Linked DNA regions of Diceros bicornis minor. The protein of the gene in region 1 purifies or fractionates together with the protein of each later gene. This does not show direct contact. Links are inferred from orthologs where the notes say so. Each region holds a gene or a part of one and is shown on either strand. Other genes may lie near its edges.

Region 1 (10,215 bases):
AGAACTTATTTCATGAAAGAAATCTACATTTATTGATTTAGTACCTTCATTCTTTCAAAGAATACTACAGACTTATGTTTATTAGCTTCATTGTTATGAGGCTGAGAAGGAAAGCTTCCCCGATCTACACACAGAGCAAGGCTACAAGGTTCAGAAAGTCTAAATGACACACAGAGGCAGCAGCCAGGCCAGGACCCCAGAAGCCTAAAGTGGCGCTGTTCCCGGCATTGGTACTACCTGCTCTCAGCTCCTGAAAGCAGCACCCTGCACCTCAGGGCAGATCATCTCAGGCTGCACTGAGCTGCGAAGGCCTCCTCCCTCAGCCACACAGCTCCAACTCCAGTTTCTGCAGATTGTCCACTAAACCACCATCTGGCAGTCCCCACTGCTAATGACAACAACCAGAGGGAAAAAGCCAAATGAAAGCCCCTGGGTGTGGCAGGATGGGTGAACCTTATGCCGGAATCCACTGCAATGTCCAGAAATGTCTTTCCTCGAGCCTGTGCTGCTGGATGAATGAGCCCTGACCAACGGGCAGCGTCAACAGCTTCACCCACAGCTCCGCCAATGCCAAATATCTGAAGGAATGCCTTCCAAGTGAAATGAACACATTTAGTAGGCTACCAAATATTTTACCAATTTGCTGCCCACTCTTCTAGCAGATTCACAGGTGGCAAATGTACTAACCCCCCCATAATAAATTATGATTCACTTTGAACAACTGCAGGGTAGTTATTTTCAAAGCTGCCCTGGAGTTGAGTTAGGGGGTGGGGGTATTACGGAGAAATAGAAAGAGAAGTCCCTAAAGTTTACCACAAGGCTGATAATCTGCATTAAAAAAGCTACCTTTCTAGGGTTCAACTGGAAGAGACCTAAAACCTTGGGGTGGATAGAACCTTGGCCTGGGAACCAATGCCAGTGGTCTACAGCCCTGGAAGGCAGGTGTCCTGAAGGCCCAGGAATGAAAAAGCAGACACACTCCACGGCTTTAGAACCAAGGGGCAAAGGGTCCTCATGGGGGACCCATGGCAACAGGGCAACCCCACAGCCAAGGCGCCACTGGAGGGCGGCAGGGGAGTACAGGGAGGCTGCAGGCACCAAGAGAACCCCAGCAAGGGGTGAAATGGCAAGAAAGCTGGGTGAAAAGGAAGGAGGCCACCACTCTGGGGCAGGTGGCTACAAGACAGTCATGCACCTGGGAAGGGCCCCCAAGAGGGTAGATCTAGTTCAGCCCAGTCGCCTGAAGAGGGAAGTGTCTAAAAAAAGTCAGCTGTGACTTTTAAAAAGTCCTTCCCAACATGCTGTCTCCTCAGCCTTCCCCATCTCACTAATATGGCAACTCCATTCTACTTAAAATCACATTCGACCTCTTTCACACCTCACATGGAACCCAGTGGCCAATCCTATTGGGTCCACCTCTAAAATCTACAGATAGAGCAAGTATATAAACCTACAGACGGAGCAGAATTCGACCACCTCACATTTCTACCATTTCCACCCCAGCCCAAGCTGCCATCATCTCTCACCAAAATTACATATGGTCACTCTCTCTTGTGTAGAAATAACCTGGAGGTGGGTTTTATTCCAGAATTACTTACAAGTCTCTGAACTGGTTGGTCTCCCTGCTTCTATGCCTGCCCCTCTCCCCACCCACCCATCTTTTCTCTATACAGTGTTTCAAGTAATCCTTGAAAACTACCAGACAGCTTTCCATGGTTCCCCACCTCACTCAAAGTAAAAGCAAAATCTTATGCGAGTAAAAGCAAAATCCTATGAGACCTGCCCTCAACTGGAACAGACAGAGGTATAGAGAGCCCCCAGGCCTGAAAAGGTCAATCATACAGAAAAACACTAGGGTCCCATCCACAGGTCCTGCTTGGAGTGAGGACCAAGAGCCAGGTGGAATGATGAACATCTCAGAAGATGCCTCTGGCCCAGAGGAAAATGCTTCCCTCCATAACAAGGCTGCACTTACTCCTGTTTGGAATTCCTTCTTAGGATTAATAAACCAATACTGCCAAATACATAGTTAATAATGAAAAGGGATTAATTCAATTAAACAATGCTGGGCATTGTTTTAATTTTTAATTTTTTTTTGTGAGGAAGATCAGCCCTGAGCTAACATCTGATGCCAATCCTCCTCTTTCTTTGCTGAGGAAGGTTGGCCCTGAGCTAACATCCATGCCCATCTTCCTCCACTTTATATGGGAGGCCCACCACAGCACGGCTTGACAAGTGGTGCGTCAGTGAGCCCCTGGGCCCGAACCTGCGAAGGCACGGCCGCCAAAGCAGAAGACGCGCACTTAACCGCTTGCGCCACCACGCCAACCCCCATAATTAGGTCTTTTTACTGGCCTTAGTAGAAATAAACTACTTGGTAGAAACTAAACTCAGTACACAGAAACTGTCAACAAACATGTATTTAATTCCATCGAAGAATGGAAACTTCTACCAAATATAATTAACACGCGTCCTAGTATTCAAACTCGGGAGGTCAGCAATCTTGTCTTTCAAGCCTTTTTCTCTCTGAAGCAAATAATTATATACATACAAGCACCCACGTGGCTCAAATCCAGATCCAACAACTGAGTACATTTCTGATCTCTATTTAGTCTTATCCTGTTGGTTTAGTCAAAACTCCTTTGACACCTTTTAAATTTTATATATAATGATTAAACATGATCTTAATATGCTAAACCTTTAAAAACTATTTTAATCCATTGTTGACTCTGCCCCCTAAATTTCTATTCTGATTGTGTGACTTAAATAAGACCTTTTGTTTTAATGACAGAAGGGTGTGTTCACAGAAAAATAATAATTTCCACCGAGATCAACTAAAAATATCAGGGGGATATATGTATCACCGTTTCCTTCTATCTGAACCGAACATAAAGGGCAACAAATGTTAAGAGAAATCCTAAGTAAATTATAGGTCAAATGAAATACAATCAGGAAATTCAGACAGAGGCCAACATACACAGTTCTAATGGTCAAATTTTAAAGAGCACATTTTTAGGGAACTACACCTGGTACTGAAATCCCAACCCTCTCCCTTGTAACTAAATCTGGAATAATACCCAACTCCAGGTACTTCCACACACCCGAGCCTGCCTGTGGGTATTAAGAAGTATAGTTCTCTTCCAGAAGGCACATGTCTGCCTATCCTAATCATACAAGTCAAACACAACTCCTAACTGGTTCCCACACCCACTGAAAAGGGGAAGGAACTAAAATAGCACGCTGTGGTAGTACTACAGTGCGAGTGCCGCTCTGTGTACACACAGGTTTTAGAGGGACTGCCAGACCTGCCTGGCCTGGGAAGTTTTCTACTACGCAGAAAGGGACACACTGAGAACAGGTTGTCTTTACTAAGCCGGAAGAACTTCCTCCCGCTCCAAACCATCTGGAAGGCTTGAAGAATCCAGCTTTTACAGGCCAATTCAGGTCACAAGGAAGCCCACCCAGAGGGGACTTCTCCGAAAAAACCCTGGCGATCCCGACAAGAGGTGTGGGCGGGGCGGGGCGCGTCCCGGGGTCTAGGGAAGAGAGTGGGCGCCGTGGGCAGGGTGCGGGGTGCTAGCGTTGTCCCCAGGCCGGCCACCTGCCGCGGGACCACCCTCCCGGCCGCCGGGCGGGCTCCCCACCCGCGGCGGATGACACATCGCGGACTTCGTGGCGGGGCGGGGTGCTCAGCACCGCGCCATGTAAGGGAAGGTCTCCGGATGCCTCCTGGGCCGGCCCCCGTACCCGCTCCCCGCCGCTGTCCACGCCGACCACCCCGTCCGTCCCGGCGCCGGGGTCCCTGGCAGGGCGCGCGGGGTGGGCATCACCGAGGAGCCAGGTCGCCCACGCTTACTCACTCGGTGTTGCATCATGCACCACGCCGCGCCTTCAGGGAACCAAAATGGACTCCGGTGAAGGAGACAGCCACATGGGCACCAGCCCCGCGCGCACACCCCCGGGCCCGCCCTGCCCTCGCCCACCCTGGAGGATGCCAGCGCCCCGGGCGCAGGACCCTCGCCGCTCCCGCGCCGCCCTCCCACGGCCCCACGCAGCGCCGGGGTCCCTTCCAAGGTGACCCAGACGCGGGGAGCTGCCCTGGCGCCGGCGGGGGCCGGGCACTCACCGAGCCGGCGGGCGGCAGGATGCCGGCACGACTGTGGATGGACGGACGCACGCGCGGCTGGACTGACGGACGCTCGGACGCAGGCCCGGCGCGGGGAGCCGCAGTGAGAGTGGGAGCTGCGGTTAGCGGATGCCGGCTGGCCGCGTGCCCCGCCAGGCAGTTGACCGGCCGCTCACACCTGCCCGCGCCGACTGAATGGAGCGTGAGGGCGGGCGGGCCCCGGCGCCGGGTTTCATCAGCCGCGCGGCCCGGGCCTGGCCCGCGAGCCCGCCCCCGGGCCCCAGCCCGCGCTGCGTCACCGCCGACCGCCAATGGAAGCGCGGCGCGGCTGCCCGGCGGGCGCGGGGGCGGGGCGGCGCGTCTTCGCGCGCCCGGGCGCCAACCTGGGATCCCCCCGCAGGCGGGCGGCGCCTCCCGGCGTCTTCGCGGTCGCCCCGCCCGCGTGTTGCCATTTCTCCGCCAATCCGAGCCGGCGGCCGCACCGCGTCCTCTGGTCCCCTGCAGGCCTGGCGGGCCGGGGCTAGTGCCGCGGGCTCGGCCGTGCCAAGCCCCGACCAGCGGGTCTCAGCGAGCTGACACCGAGCTCGCGGCCAGTTTTCCTTTCCAAAAATAAAAGATTTGGGAAGCACTTCAAGGGTTTTTAAAAATTATTATAAATCTTCATTTCTTTATCATTGGAGTATTTTATTGCTATTCCCTTGCTTTTAATAAATAATTTATCCTTGCCCCTTGTCAGGAAGGGCCCTGAAGCCTGAATCTACCTGTGCCCCTTGGCCGTGGGACAAGCATACCTGGCCAACGGGCTCGTCAAAGCGGCTTATTTCCGGAGTTACTCTCCCCGAGATGGCCGAGACTTCAGTACCGAATCCCACAGGGCTCACCTCACAAGCTCCCTCTTTGTTGTCTCTCTTTGCTCCAAAAAAAAAAAAAAAAAACCACAGTCTATGGAGATCCAGTGATGTGTGACATGTGAGAGGCGAGCGGGACATAGATTAATTCTGCCAGTCTCCTCCTAACTTTGTAGAAAACAGACAAAACGACAGTACAGTGTCCATGGTCTTTGAATCCTTTCCACACCTCCTACCCCCACCTGATGTTCTTGGTCAGTAAGGGGCTCGTCGTCAGCCACTGGATGTGATCCTCTCTTTTGGAATTACACTAGCTATTTATAGAGCACATAACTGCATGGTACTGGCTTCAGAAAATGTTTTAATGAACGCATAGAAATGTGCTAATATTTGTGAAGCATTTTGAACAGTGTTTGGCATCATAAGTGACTACCTGTACATTGTTTTAAAACAATAAATTTCAGTTTCAATTGTACAGTGATGAAATGATGCTCTCGAGTTGCATTAAGGAGGTCCCCTGTGTTGGGGCTTTTTCTGAATCCCACACAGTCTCCTTTACCCCCTGACACTGCCTTGAAAGGATGTCCCCCTTCTCACAGAGGGAAGCCTGGTGTGATTCAAGGACCACCCACTTTGTCTCTGCACCAGATCTGAATTTGAATCTGAATTCTCCCACTTCATTCCCTGTGTGGTCTTCTGCAAGCTTTTTCACCTCTATTAACCTTATATTCTTATCAGAAGACTATCCTTTAGTGTTTGAAATATGATTATAGGATTTTTTTTTAAAGAGTCTTGGCAGTAAAATAGAATTTAGTAGATTGTAGAGATGCTCGGCTTGGGGAATGCAGAGAAGGAACACAGAGTTAATATTTGTAAATTCTGAGAGCAAATGTTCCAGGCCCTGATGGGTATACGGGTGGAACTTAACCAAGGAGATTTGTAGCACTGTGCTCAGTTTAGCAATCCCACCCAGCAGGCTTCCTCTTCAGAAAGACAATAGCAGACCCTCAGTGACCAGACCCATAAGCAAGCAGCTTCCCAGCAAAAAGGATTCAGTGTGAACCAGGGAAAAAATCATTATGCTCAAGTTCTCAGCAAAAAGTTTTTAAAAAACTGAAAAAAAAACCTGGCTGAATTTTTTAAGTACAGCTAAACTTCAGGCAGTTAAGATTCCCATTGCAGGTCCAGAGGGACCATGAGTGACAGACAACCTCAGAATCAAAGAGCATTAAGCCAAGATTCCAAAGACTATTAAGGAAAGGAGATGCTAGAATTTTGGCCCTAGAGGGCACCATCTAAGGTTACGGTTGACAGACCAAGTCCCAGCCTAGCATGGGAGTGCAAAAAGTGTAGAGCATCAGAGAGTCAGACAGATGTGGTTTTAAACTCTAACTCGACTTTCTGCCCACTGCTGGCGCAGGGAAATTGTCCTCTCTTAGGCACAGTTTCTTCATCTTCAAAATAAGGGTTTTACTACCTACTGGATAGGAATAACTTTATGGTGAGAATGAAAAATATACATTCAGTAAAGGTGGAAAAAAAGAAAAAGAAAAATATGCATAAAGGTGAAACAAAATAGAGAGCCTAGAATTTTTTGTTGCTAGTGCTGTTGAGGCATTTCCGACTCCTAGTGACCCTGTGTACAGCAGAGCGGAACCCTACCCGGTCTTTTTGTGCCATCCTCTCATCTTCCAGGCTCTATATCAAACAATGTCCCACCACTATTCACAGGGTTTTCATGGCCAGTTTTTTCAGAAGTAGGTGGCCAAGTCCTTCCTCCCAGTCTGTCTTAGTCTGGAAGCTCTGCTGAAACCTGTCACCCTGGGTGACCCTGCTGGTATTAGACATACCAGTGGCATAGCTTTCAGCATCATGACAACACGCAGACACCACAGTATGACAGCTGACAAAGACCAGAAACAGACCCACGCAACACACAGTATGACAACCGACAGACAAAGCCCAGAAATAGAGCCACACAATATAGTCAACTGATTTTTGAGGCAAAGGAAAAAGGCAATACAATGGAGAAAGGACAGTCTCTTCAACAAATGGTGCTGAAACAACTGGACATCCACATGCAAAAAAAATGAATCTAGACACAGACCTTACACCTTTCACAAAAGTTAACTGAAAACGAATCATAGACCTAAATGTAAATGCAAAATGAGAAAAATCCTAGAAGATAACATAGGAGAAAATCTAAGTGATCTTTAGGTTTGGCAATGACTTTTTAGATACATCAAAAATATGATCCACAAAAGAAAAAATTGACAAGTTGGACTTCATTAAAATTTAAAACTTCTGCTGTGCAAAAGACACTATTAAGAGGGGCCGGCCCGGTGGCGCAAGCGGTTAAGTGCGCGCGCTCCGCTGCGGCGGCCCGGGGTTCGCTGGTTCGGATCCCGGGCGCGCACCGACGCACTGCTTGGTAAGCCATGCTGTGGCGGCGTCCCATATAAAGTGGAGGAAGATAGGCACAGATGTTAGCCCAGGGCCGTCTTCCTCAGCAAAAAAAAAAGAGGAGGATTGGCGGATGTTAGCTCAGGGCTGATCTCCTCACAAAAAAAAAAAAAAAAAAAAGACACTATTAAGAGAATGAAAAGATAAGCCTCAGACTAGAAGAAAATCTTTGCAAAACACATGCCTGGTAAAGTACTGGTACCCAAAATACACAAAGAACTTTTTTTTTTCTTTTTGTGAGGAAGATCGGCCCTGAGCTAACATCTGCCAATCCTCCTCTTTTGCTAAGGAAGACTGGCCCTGGGCTAACATCCATGCCCATCTTCCTCCACTTTATATGGGATGCCACCACACCATGGCTTGACAAGCGGTGCGTCGGTGTGCACCCGGGATCCGAACCGGCGAACCCCGGGCTGCCACAGCAGAGCGCACACACTTAACCACTTGCGCCACCAGGCCAACCCCTGCAAAGAACTCTTAAAACTCAACAATAAGAAAACAAACAACCCAACTTTTAAAATGGGCAAAAGACCTGAACAGACACCTCATCAAGGAAGACATATAGATGGCAAATAAGCATATAAAAAGATATTTAACATCATATGTCATTAGGGAATTGCAAATTAAAACAATGAGATACCACTGCACACCCATTGAATAGCTAAAATCCAAAACAGCAACACCACCAAATGCTGTCGAGGATGTGGAGCAACAGGAACTCTTGACTCATTGCTGGTGGAAATGCAAAATGGTACAGTTACTTTGGAAGACAGTTTGGCAATGTCTTACAAAACTAAACATAGTCTTACTGTACAATCCAGCAATTACACTCCTTGGTAGTTACCCAAATGAATTGTGTCCACACAAAAACCTACACATGAACGTTTATAGCAGCTTTAGTCCTGATTGCCAAAATTTGGAAGCAACCAAGATGTCTTTCAATAGGTGAATGGATAAAAAAACTGTGGTACAGGGGCTGGCACCATGGCCTAGTGGTTAAGTTCAGCGGGCTCTGCTTTGACGGCCCAGGTTCAGTTCCCCGGTGTAGACCTACACCACGCCTCGGTGGCCAAGCTGTGGCACCACATACAAAATAGAGGAAGATTGGCAGCAGATGTTAGCTCAGGGCAAATCTTCCTCAGCAAAAAAATAAATAAATAAATACAATAAAATCCCTTAAAAAAAAACAACTACAACTATGGTACACCCAGACAATGAAATAGAGTTTGTCAATAAAAAGAAATGCGCTATTGAGCCATGAAGAGATATGGAGGAACCTTAAATGCATACTAACATTCTATACATACATATGTACATGTATACTATATATAATCAGAATGGAAACAAAAAAATGTTGTCCCTAGAAGGAGTTTTAATTCTTTTGTATACTTACCTCGATATTCTACACTGAAAATTTACAATAAACTCAATAGATGTTATTAAAAATCAGAATTGTAGGGGCCGGCCCAGTGGCGTAGCAGTTAAGTGTGCGCGCTCTGCTTCATCGGCCTGAGGTTTGCAGGTTCGGATCCCGGGCACACACCGATGCACCACTTGTCAAGCCATGCTATGGCGGCATCCCATATAAGGTAGAGGAAGATGGGCACAGATGTTAGCCCAGGGCCAATCTTCCTCGGCAAAAAAAAAAAAAAAAAAGAGGAGGATTGGCATCCGATGTTAGCTCAGGGCTGATCTTTCTCACCCAAAAAAAAAAAAAAAAAAAATCAGAATTGTAGCCAAAAAATAAAATAAAATTCTACCTCCAGCCCCATCCTCCACCAAAAATCTCTGTAGCCAAAGAACACCCATGCCTTCATCCTCAAGTCCCACTGTCTCTTGTGATTTGTCAAGAAAGAAGCTCAGGCCTGGCATGTAACTATTGAGAAGTCTTTTAGGCCATTAGCACCAGGTAACCAACTAACCAGGTTACCAGGGCATGAGCTCTGAAAAGATGATGATGTCCTCTCTTCCCCATGAGCATTCAAAATAAAAATATTAAAATAATATGAGGAAGTCCAACCGTTTCCAATTTTTTTCTGTACTGCCCTGATTCCCTTCAATGCTTTTTTCTTTAATATCACATTTTTTCCAACAAAATCTTTCAGGGCCCGTGTTTAGCTAGAGCCCTACGCACGGGCTTGATTTGCCAGGCCAGCACTCCAGCACTGACTACCCTGAGCCCTGGTCAGAGTCACCGCTGAGAGAGGAATCTTCTTCACTCACCTCCCCGGTTTAACTTTGCTTCAAATTTGAAGGCCAATGGTATATATTTCCTACTGGGTTTCCATAGTGTTTGGAAGTTTTTTGTGCTTCATGAAAAAGTTTTTAACTAATTTTCCGTACCTTTGCTGTCTCCTTTAACACATGAATGCTATATCCATTGATGTTTAAATTTAGGAGAACATTCTGGAATATATAGTGTGTTGTGGACTGAACTGGGTCCCCCTAAAATTCATATGTTGAAGCCTTAACCCCCAGTACCTCAGAATGTGGCTGTATTTGGACATAGGGCCGTTAAAGAGGTAATTAAGTTAAATAAGGCTAATCCAATATGACTAGTATCTTTATAAGAAAAGGAAATTGGGGCATACAGAGAGACACCAGACACACATGTGCCCAGAGGAAGGGCCATGTGAGGACACAGTGAGAAGGCGACTATCTACAAGCCAAGGGGCGAGGCCTCAAAGGAAACTAAAGCTGCCAACAATTTGATTTTGGACTTCCAGCCTCCAGAACTGTGAGGAAATAAATCTCTGGTGTTTAAGCCACCCAGTCTGT
Region 2 (10,679 bases), on another chromosome or scaffold:
AATACTGGCAATGGATGTTAGCTCAGGGCTGATCTTCTTCACCAAAAAAAAAAGTATCCCATTACCATTCTTCCTTTGATATAATTACTTAAAATAGGTAATACTTTCACATGGTTCAAAAATCTAAATAATATAAAAGGTTTACAGTGAAAATTCTTATTCTAACAATTGTACTCACCTTGTTCTCACAAACCACCCATAGGGAACCACTTTTATTAGTTTATGTAACTTTCCAGGATTTCTTTATGAGGATACACACACACACACACACTTTTTTTCTTATACAACAGTAGCGTGATATACTCATTCTACACCTTGATATTTAACTAACAATATATTTTGAAGCATTTTCATATTTATGCATAATGAGCATCTTCATTCTTTTTGACATCTGCATACCTGCTAATGGACAAGTTTCTAATCCATTGCAAACAATATCCAATGAATAACATTGATGTTTGTGTCATTTCATACAGGTGCAGATAAGATGAATTAAAATTCTATTTCTCCACCCTTTGCAGCTCGTATGGACCGTGACTTGCTTTGACTAATAGAATACGGCAGAAGTCATGTTGTGCAACTTCTGAGCAGAGTCTCCAGAGACCTGGCAGCTTCTGCTCTCACCCTCTGGGAACCCTGAGGCCACTATGCTATGACGAAACCCAAGGTGAAATACCACATGGAGAGAGTGGCTTAGCCACCCCAGCCAACCCGGCCATTAGGGTTAAGGTCCCAGGCATGCCAGTGTGAGAGAGGCCACGGTGGGCCATCCAGCTCCAGCCAAGGTGCCAGCTGACTGCTGCCATCTAAGTAATCTAAGGTAAGACCAGCAGAGAAACCACCCGGCCATCCTCAGAATCTGGAGAAACAATGAATCATTGTTATTTTACACCAGTGAGTTTTGAGGTGGTTTCTTATGAAGCAGTAGCTAACTGATACAGCAGGAATACCATTCAGATAGATTTTCAGAAGTGGGATTGCTGGTTCAAAGTGTATATGCATTTATAATTTTGATAAATATTGTCTGGGTTGTATCATTTTGCAGTCTCACCAACAATGGGTGAAAGTCCCTGTTTCCCCACAGTCTTGCCAAAAAAGCGAATCGTCAAATGTAGATTTTTGCTCATGCAGTAAATAAAAAGTGGTATTTCAGTATCGTCTTCATTTTCATTTCTCTTATTGTGCGAAGTTGAACATCTGCATATGTGTTTAGTTCTTATGTATTTTCTTTTTTGTGATCTGTCATGTTCTTTGCCCATTTTTTGTTGAACTGTTGGTCTTTCTTATCAATATGTGGGAGCTCTTTAAATAATAAGGAGATTAGCCCTTTGTATATGATAAGAACTGCAAATATTTTTTCCCAGTTTGCTGTTTATCTTGATTTTGCTTTGATGTTTTTACCATGCAAAATTTTTTCATGTAGACAAATGTATTAATCTTTCATTTTATAGCTTCTGAATTTTGAGTTGCAGTTGGAAAGGCCTTCCTCACTCCGAGACTTATAAAGGATTTTGCCCATATTTTCTTCTAGTATTTTTATGGAGTTTATCCTGACAAATTGTGTGACCCATCACCTTTCGCATGAAGGTCAAGGTCAAGGTTATGGTATGGGTCACCTGGTGTCACCCATGTGGAGAGGAAACAGGAGGAACAAAAGCTGATTTAGGAGATTCTCAGGGGGAGATAATGCATCCTGTTTGGGAGACGTTGAGTTTAAGATGCCTGTGGGACCTCCAGGACAGGGTGTCCAGGAGGCAAATGGATTCAGGGGTCTGGAGCAGAGAAGAAAATTTGGGACTGGAGACATGGAATTGGGAGCCAGCATATGGATGCCAGTTAAAGCCACAAGAGTGTGTGTAGAGTTTGAAGAGGAGAGGTTCTCAGATGGAGCTCTAGGGAGTGATCAAGGTCAGGCCCAAAACACATCACGAGGAGAGAGTTGTGGGGGCTTCATCTCTGTAGCCTTTGGGGCTTGGCACAAAAATAGCCTCAGAGACACTTGTAGGATGAACAGATGCCCTTTACGTGAGACATGCATGGACATCTTTGGCTCCCGGGGACACAGCAAACAGGGCAAGGGAGGAAGACCAACAACCTCTCCAGCAGTCAGCCCCAACCCAGCAGGTGTGGAAGAGAGACCCCGTGACAGGGGAGGGGAGAAGGCTCAGTCTTGCAAAGTCTGCCCCCTCCTTCCCCTAGATGATCCAAAGCAGGGCATCAATAGTTGGCAGCAAGTCCCCAAAGGTGGGTGGAACATGGGAAGCCAGTCCTGGCTAGTGTTTTCCTTGGGTCACAGTATAGTGGTTAAGAAAGAGCATAGACTCTGGACCTCCACTCTCTGGGTTCAAATTCCGGCTCTCTCATTTACTAGTGTGTAACTTTTGGCAAGTTACTTAACATCTCTGTGCCTCAGTTTCCTCCTTTGTAAAATGAGGACAATAATAGTACCAATCTCATAGAATTGATATGAGGGTTAAATGAGTAAATATCTATAACCTGCTTACATTGGTGCATGGCACAGAGTAAATGTTATGTAAGTATTAAACTAAAAAGAAATAATTTCATTCATTCATGAATGTTTATTGACCAGCTACTATGTGCCAGGCACTGTTGTAGGTGCTGGGGACACAGCAGTGAATGATGCAGGTGAAAATCCCTGCCCTCATGGAGCTTAGCTTCTAGCAGGGTGGACAGGACGGGTGAAGATAGACAATATATAAAATAAATAAGCAAAATAGAAGGTGTGTCAGATCCAAGTGAAGACATGAGAGATGTGCAGGACCGCTAGCCTAGGACCTGGTGCACAGTGGGGCTCAGGAGATGGAAAAGGAAAGGAAGAGCCTGGACAGGCAGCAGAGTGGAATCTCTGGCAGAGACACTGGGGCTGCGGACACCCTGGTGGTAAAAATCATCATCATTTCTGTCATATAATAGCATCAAACACTTATATAGCACTTATTCCGTACCAGGCACTGTTCTATTCACTTTACATATATCATCTCATTTAATCCTTACAGCAACCCTATGAGGTTGGTACTGTTACCGTCCTATTTTTCAAATGAGGGAACTGAGGCATGAAGAGGTTAAGTAACTTGTCTTATAGAGTTATATAGTAGTTGAATGAGCTGGGATTCCAACCCAGGTCATCTGGCTCCAGTGTTAATAGGATGGACCTATAGGTGGAGGGGACGGGACAGGCTGCCATGCCTCAGGAACAGGTAGGGCCCAACCTTCAGACAGATTGAAAAGAAAATACACACCGCCACCCCCCCCCAACACCCACACATGCAAAACCCAATATACTTAACACACACTTCAAAGCTGCTCTGAGGGCCTGAGAGGAGTAAAAAAGGACTATGAGACAGAGATAAGGGCTCAGCTCTGGAAAGCTCTATCCCCAGAGCCATTCTCCCTAGATGGCCCCTGCTCCCTGGCCCCTCCACACACCCCTCCATGAGGCTCTCAGCCTGCCCTCCTGTGGCCTTAAGCCACCATCGCAAAGCCCTGCGATCCTACCCAGAGACCACAAATAAAATGAATATCATAGTCCTGGGAAATTTAACAAAGGCACCAAGAACTCCAGATCACAGCTGGGAACCAAGAAGGCAAGTCATCAAAATGCTAAGAAACAGAGAGAGGCAGGTGGGACTCGTAGGCCCAGAGAGAGCTGGAACCCACAGTAGTGAAAGCTCACAGAGGGAGGAACTCTCCACAGTTTACAAGACCCTTCCAAATTCTTCTTAACCTCACTTGATATTGTTCAGTTCTTACCCTAGGCAAGACAGAAATTACCAGACCAAGTTGTCAAATGAAGAAATTAAGTCCCACAGAGGAGCAATGAATTATTCAAGATCACCCCCAGGACTAGGAGTCAGATGTCCAAAGCCCTTCCACTGTACCACTCAGAGTATGAGAGAGACAGACAGAGACAGAGAGAAAGAAGGGAGGAGGGCAGGGAGGCAGAGGCTAACATGGAAGATCCAGGAGCAGAGAAATCCTTCCTCATGATCTCCAGGGGACTCCACGGGGCAGGGTTTGGCCTCCTGAACCCTTCATTCTTTATTCCTCCTGTGGGTTGATCAGGGCAGCACATCCTCATTCCTTCATTCCCAACCCAGGCGAGCTGGATTCTAAAGGGAAGAGGAGAAGGATCAAAGTCTTCACATAGAATCAGACAGCACTTGACAGTTTCCAACCTCATATCACTGAACATTAGAGCAGGGAATACCCATCAAGATTATCTCCCCATCCTCCTACTGCCACCTATTGTGTAGATGGGGGATCAAAGCCCAGAGATAAGTGACTTTCCAGAAGTCCACAGCAACTCAGTCACAGGAATCTAGTTTTCCTTACCAGGGCATACTAGAGAGGGGCTATTCCTTCCCTTGCTTGAATCTTCATATAAGCACCCTGGAAAGAGCCCCGGGGTCCAGAAGACTTGATATCCATTCTGGCTATGCCGAGACTCACTGAGTAGTCTTGGGGACTCTTGCTATAGAATGTAAACTCCAGGGGCTGGCCCCGTGGCTTAGCGGTTAAGTGCATGCGCTCTGCTGCTGGCGGCCTGGGTTTGGATCCCGGGCGCGCACTAACGCACCGCTTCTCCGGCCATGCTGAGGCCGCGTCCCACATACAGCAACTAGAAGGATGTGCAACTATGACATACAACTATCTCCTGGAGCTTTGGGGGGAAAACAAATAAATAAATAAAAATTAAAAAAAAAAAAAAAAAAGAATGTAAGCTCCACAAGGGCAAGGCATTTTTGCCTCTTAGCCCTTGATGTATCTCCGGCCCCTAGAACAGTGTCTGGCCCATAGTAAACGCCCAATAAACATCCACTGAATGAATGAACCTCTAGAGGGCCAGGGTTAGGGGAGTGTCACCGTGAGAGCCTGAAGCCTGAAACAGAAGACTAGGGAACTATGAGCTTTATCTTCAGATGCATGAAAGGCTAAAATTCTGTCCACAAATATTTATTGAGGGCCCATTATGTGCTGGGTACTGAACTAGGTGCTGGCGATTCAGGTAAGAACAAGACAGTCATGCCCTGACCTCAAGAGCTCACAGTCCGCTATAATATGGAATGTGGGCAGAATGTTTTGTGGACTCCAGAGGGTAGACCTAGGTGCAAGGTGGGGGCGGGCGGGGGTGGGAGGGAGGTGTAAGTGGCAGACTGCTCAATATAATACATTTTTCTTAGCTTGAGCTGCCCTGAAATGGTCTCGCTGCTCAGAAGGTGATGAGTGCAGCAGGACTGCAATGTTCAAGCAGGGCGCCAGCCGCCCACCTGTGGGAAGCTGTGCCAGGAGTATGCGGAAAAAGAGATTTCTGCCTTGGGTGAGGTCACTTCCCACCCCCAGATTCTCTGCCTACAAAACCCTGCAATTCTCTGACGCTGGATCTTATTATTTTCTGAATTTCAAGGTCCCATAATGCTGACAGCCCCAAATTCTAAGTCGTCTGCCCACGGCCCTGGGCCCCAAAGAAATAAAGCTGAATTCAGCAAGGGTCCTACCACCCACTGCCTCAACAGGTCTCTGGGGATAGCGCCCCCTCCCCGCCTCGGTGGGCTGGAAGGGCGTAGCTCGGGCGCCGGAGTGCCGCGGACGTCGTGGGGAGAAGGATGTTTCAGATACAGAGTTGACAGAGCCAAGACACGTGACAGTCAAAGGCTCACGTTCTGTGGTCCGCGAGGCTGGGACCCGGTCGATCACGTGACGCAGGGGGGCACTATGGGGTGATGTGAGATGCAGGGCCTCTCACATTACGTACAAATGACGCATTCCCACCCCTTTTGGCAAGCAGATTTCCGTTGAAAGATGCGACAGTTCCGGTCGAGGGGGAGGGTTCTCACGTCCTGGCAGTTTTGCTTCCGTTCGGGGCGCTACAGTTTCCGACCTCTGCCTCTCCCTCGGGCGGGGAAGAGACGCGACCCCGTGCGCATGCCCTGAATCATCCCAGGGGGGCGGGGCCGAGGCCACCGGGGCGGGAGGGGGGAAAGAAAAGGGAATTCCAACCTGTGGAAACTTGGGGGTCCCCGAGGTCGCCTCCTTCCCATTGACTGTGGATGGTGCCAGGGACAGAGCCTCTGGAGGCTCGTGGGAGGTTTTGGGGTCCGCGGGGTGAGGGCGGAGGGGAGTGTCAGAGTGCCAGTGGGGTACCGGAGTTCCAAACTTAGAATCTTGAGGCCCTCGGGGCTCCGGCGCCGGGGAAAGAGAGCTCCGGCCGCCATGCGGGACAGGACCCACGAGCTGAGGCAGGTGAGAAGTCGGGGCAGCAGGGTTGGGGACGGGCGGACGGGGTGGGATCTGGCTGAAATGCAGGACTCCTGGTCTTTGGGGCAGGGAGGGGTGGCTGAGGGCTAGGAAGGAAAGACCCGGAAGCCCGTGAGTTCTGCGGGAAGAGAGCTACAGCAAGGAAGTGATGCCAGTGACCCTGGCCCTGGCAGGGGGATGACAGCTCGGACGATGAGAACAAGGAGCGGGTCGCGCTGGTGGTACACCCGGGCACGGCGCGGTTGGGGAGCCCGGACGATGAGTTCTTCCAGAAGGTAAGAGCCTGGAGTCCCGGCCTGGATTCACGAGGGAACTGGAAGACCTGAGGAGCAGCGCGGTCTGGAGTACCCCCATATCTCCTTCAGCCCTCTCGGTCACCCTCCCCAGGTCCGGACAATTCAGCAGGCTATTGTCAAGCTGGAGAATAAAGTCCGAGTGTTGGAGAAGCAGCAGGTCACCATCCTGGCCACGCCCCTTCCCGAGGAGGGTGAGTGAAACCCCGGGTGCAGAACGCACGCTCAGCCAGAGGGATTGTGGGGATTGCAGTTCCAGGCAGGTGGTGGCCAGGAAGATTTGTTGAGGTATAGGATGCTGTTTGGGAGTCATGGCTTTCTTTTGTTCAGGTATGAAGCAGGACTTGCAGAACCTGCGCGACGAGATCAAACAGCTGGGGAGGGAGATCCGCGCGGAGCTGAAGGGTGAGCTCCTAGGACCTCAGACAGATCCTTCCCTCTGTTCCTGCCCAGCTCCTGGCTTATGGGGAGTGTGTGGCCCAGAGAAGCCAGAGATATATCCAGGTCACACAGCAGGCCTAGATCTAGAATCTCTGTCTCCTGGCTTCCAGTCTACAGTACTTTCTCTCTTTTTTTTTTTTTTTTTGAGGAAGATTGGCCCTGAGCCAACATCTGTTGCCAATCTTCCCCCATTTTTTTTCTTTTTTCTCCTGAAAGCCCCCAGTACATAGTTGTATATCCTAGTTGTAAGTCGTTCTAGTTCTTCTATGTGGGATGCCACCTCAGCATGGCTTGATGAGCTGTGAGTAGGTCCACGCCCAGGATCTGAACTGGTGAAGCCCAGGCCGCCAAAGCAGAATGCACGAACCCAACCGCTGTGCCACTGGGCCGCCCCTCTATAGTACTTTCCATGGCACATGCCTGCCTCTTGAGGCTTTATTTGTAATGAAACCATTTACTCCTACAATTTTTGCTGCCCAGTGTGCATTCCTTGGGCAGGCAGATGGGGGTTTTGTTAGGAGGCCTCTGCGTACCTGTGAGAATTCTCTGATGTATTGCAAAGAAAAATATAACTTTTCTCTTGTCAAAAGTTCAGAATTAGTCATTTTATGATAAATTATATCCCCACCCCCAATCCTATGGAGATAAACACCTCTCTTTTGTATGGCTGGGGTATGGCCCTGGCCTTGTGTCCTGGTCCCTAAATGATTTTCAGAAGCCACAGGTGAAACCCCTCCCCCAGCAATACCCTTGTGTCTTCCCACAGCCATAGAGCCCCAGAAGGAAGAAGGTGATGAGAATTACACCTCGGTCAACACGAGAATGAGAAAAACCCAGGTGGGTTTGTTATTCCCAGAACTAGGTCATTTCAGTGTTTTATAGATCATTAGATGGCAGAAGTAAGAAGGAAGGGCCCTTCCTTCTTATTATCAAGTCCAACCTGATGATTTTCCAGATGGGGAAACTGAGGCTTAGAGAGAGAAAGGACTTACCCAAGTCCAAAACCCAGGTCTCCTCACTCCTAATCCATTCTAACACCCTGCCTTCTCCTCCATTCAATGAGAAGTTGTTGAGTCTCCAGACATGACCTGGGCTTGGCTGTGGGTAGACATGCTTTCTAGGAGCCAAGATGGGGAGTTAAACTTGAATAGGTGACAAAGACATTACTCAGGTAGGACTTGGTAGCTAATGGCTCTGCTCAGGGAAGAAGAGGGAGCAGTCATAAATGACTGGGAGGTTTCCTGCCCATGTGACAGGGACATCCTCTGCCCCATGGGCAGAAGTCAAGAAGTCCAGAAGAGGAACTTCCCTGGGGGAGGGAAGGTCACTGAATCACATCTTAGTAAGGAGATTTGAGGTGATGTGACCAGCCCCCTCTGGATGCCCAGTGAGGAGTGGTTTGGAGTTTATGGAGGTCAGAGTTGGAGTAGGTGGGCCCAGAGTTCAGCACAAGATTGAATATGGAGCAGTTTGGGCATCTTGAAAGGATACAGCTGAAGCCAGGATAGCAGATGTGTCTCTGAGGAAGGTAGTCCAATGAGCACATTTAAGGCAATAGGGGAATGGACAAGGCGAGAAGCCGTTTCAGGGGGAGCCTGTGATGGTCGTCAGTGGTCGTCAGTGTGAGAGGCTGACGGCCCAGGTGGACCTGTAATCTGGGCGGCAGGCTGACCTCCAGGCCCACTAGCACACCTCCCAGCTAAGCAATAAAACGGGTGTTCCGCCAGCATTCAACAGATTTATTGAGTGAGACAATCACCAAAATAAATAAGTAAATTATTTTAGAACAGAGTAAGTATTCAGGAAAAAAGAGCAGGAGAAGAGGGATTGAGAGCGCTGGGAGAAGGCAGGTTGCAATTTCAATAAGGTGAAGAAAACTTCATTTAGAAAGTGACATTGGAACAAAGACTCAAAGGCCTTTGTGGGGCCCGAGCATTCCAGGCCGAAGGAACAGTGAGTGCAAAGGCCTGAGGTGGGGGTGTGCTTTGTTCAGGGAGGAGTAAGGAGCCCACTGTGGTGGAGGGAGGGAGGGAGGCAAGAATGGGAGGAGGTAAGGCCAGAGGGGAAGTGGGGGGAGGGGCAGGTCATGGAGGGCCTTGTAGGCCCTGGGAAGGGCTTTGGGTTTTACTCTGAGAGAAATGCGGGAGCCTTTCAAGGTTATCATAAGGTGGTTAAGGCGGCAGCCCCTATACCGGCTCATGCTGTTTGCTCACTGTAGCCGTGGGGATGCTGAGGCCCAAACCAGGCAGGGATCCTCCCAGGGGTACCTAGCCTGTGTTCTCCATCCGTAGCATGGGATCCTGTCCCAGCAATTCGTGGAGCTCATCAACAAGTGCAACTCGATGCAGTCCGAGTACCGGGAGAAGAATGTGGAGCGGATTCGGAGGCAGCTGAAGATCAGTGAGTTGTGGTGCCCGGCCCACAGGGTCAGGTGACCTGACCCCCGCTCTGAGCCTGGCCTTTTCCTTCACAGCAAATGCTGGAATGGTGTCTGATGAGGAGCTGGAGCACATGCTGGACAGTGGGCAGAGTGAGGTGTTTGTGTCGAATGTGAGTGCCCACAGCCAGCTTCCCTCTCCCAGGCCTCCCATCCTCTCTGATCCCTGGCCCTTTTTGATTGAGGGAATACTAAGGCCCAGGAGGGAACAAATTAGCATGCCTAGAGTTACTCTTCAGGGCCCTGGCCCCAGTTCTAGGCCTGAGGACTGCCCCAGAGCTCAGCAGGTACTTCTTACCTGCTGCTGGTTTCCTGATGACCTGTCCCTCCACTCCTGTCCACTCCCCAGATACTGAAGGACACACAGGTAACTCGACAGGCCCTAAATGAGATCTCGGCCCGGCACAGTGAGATCCAGCAGCTTGAACGCAGTATCCGTGAACTTCATGAGCTCTTCACTCTTGTGGCTGCTGAGGTGGAGACGCAGGTGGGTGCCCTAGGCAGCCGGGTGGGCGTGACCCAGCCCCCAGATGGCAGACCAGGTTCAGTCAGAACCCCAGCCGTGACTGTCAGCCCACCTCCACCCTTAGCCTCTCTCCTGAGGCTTTGGTTCCCTCCAGGCTGGGCCATGCCCCCAGACTGGCCCTTACTTCCACCCTTAGCCATGCCCCAGAATTGTGTCTGCCTCCACAGCTATCCAAATGACCACTCTTCTACATGTTGCATCCAGCCCTAAATTGAGCCCACCCCAGGAATGGCCCCAACCTAGGCTCCTCCTCCACCAATAGAATATGCCTTTATACTGCTAAGTGCTCCAGTCAGAGTTGCCCCCAGAAGGCCTGCCTCCTAAAACCTGTGCCAGGTTGGAGTGGGAGGTGGTCTTCTTTCCCTGGCCCTGCTTGTACTGGGTGAGGGGAGCTTCCAGCCTGGTCCCATAGGAGCTGACCCCACTAGTGCTGCAGCCAATGCCCTTTTGCAGCTGGGAGTCATGGGGAAGGGATTTCATTCAGTAGAACCAGGACCTGAAGGCTGGTGGTGCCATGAGGAGGCAGGGATAGGGAGGGCTTCACAGCAGCTGGGAGACAGGCCTAGAAGAATGGGTGAATTCAGACATATTTGTGAAAAGGTATGGGCCATTTAAAGCACTGGGCTTCAAGCCACCACTGCAAATAGAGGTTGTCTGAGGCAAGGGAGCAGGGCAGAAGGGACCATGTGATGGAAGGGGGCCTGGA

The links. Proteins that work in one complex are often made in the same cells at the same time.
Region 2: the proteins of SLC7A1 (region 1) and STX4 purify together in Homo sapiens (co-immunoprecipitation; 3 studies listed by BioGRID and IntAct, counting the BioPlex papers as one, with this or other methods). This does not show direct contact. The link is inferred for Diceros bicornis minor from reciprocal best matches to the Homo sapiens genes SLC7A1 and STX4.

The regions. Positions count from the first base shown.
Region 1 is NC_080748.1:12,664,787-12,675,001, forward strand, and holds the start of SLC7A1 (high affinity cationic amino acid transporter 1), read right to left. Parts: upstream 4,322-10,215; 5' UTR 4,127-4,321; intron 1-4,126. UniProt on the Homo sapiens protein: High-affinity, low capacity permease involved in the transport of the cationic amino acids (arginine, lysine and ornithine) in non-hepatic tissues.
Region 2 is NC_080765.1:20,989,964-21,000,642, reverse strand, and holds the start of STX4 (syntaxin-4), read left to right. Parts: upstream 1-6,007; 5' UTR 6,008-6,231; coding exon 6,232-6,261; intron 6,262-6,449; coding exon 6,450-6,551; intron 6,552-6,641; coding exon of another isoform or gene 6,642-6,663; coding exon 6,664-6,763; intron 6,764-6,899; coding exon 6,900-6,974; intron 6,975-7,776; coding exon 7,777-7,847; intron 7,848-9,301; coding exon 9,302-9,410; intron 9,411-9,483; coding exon 9,484-9,560; intron 9,561-9,796; coding exon 9,797-9,934; intron 9,935-10,679. UniProt on the Homo sapiens protein: Plasma membrane t-SNARE that mediates docking of transport vesicles. Necessary for the translocation of SLC2A4 from intracellular vesicles to the plasma membrane.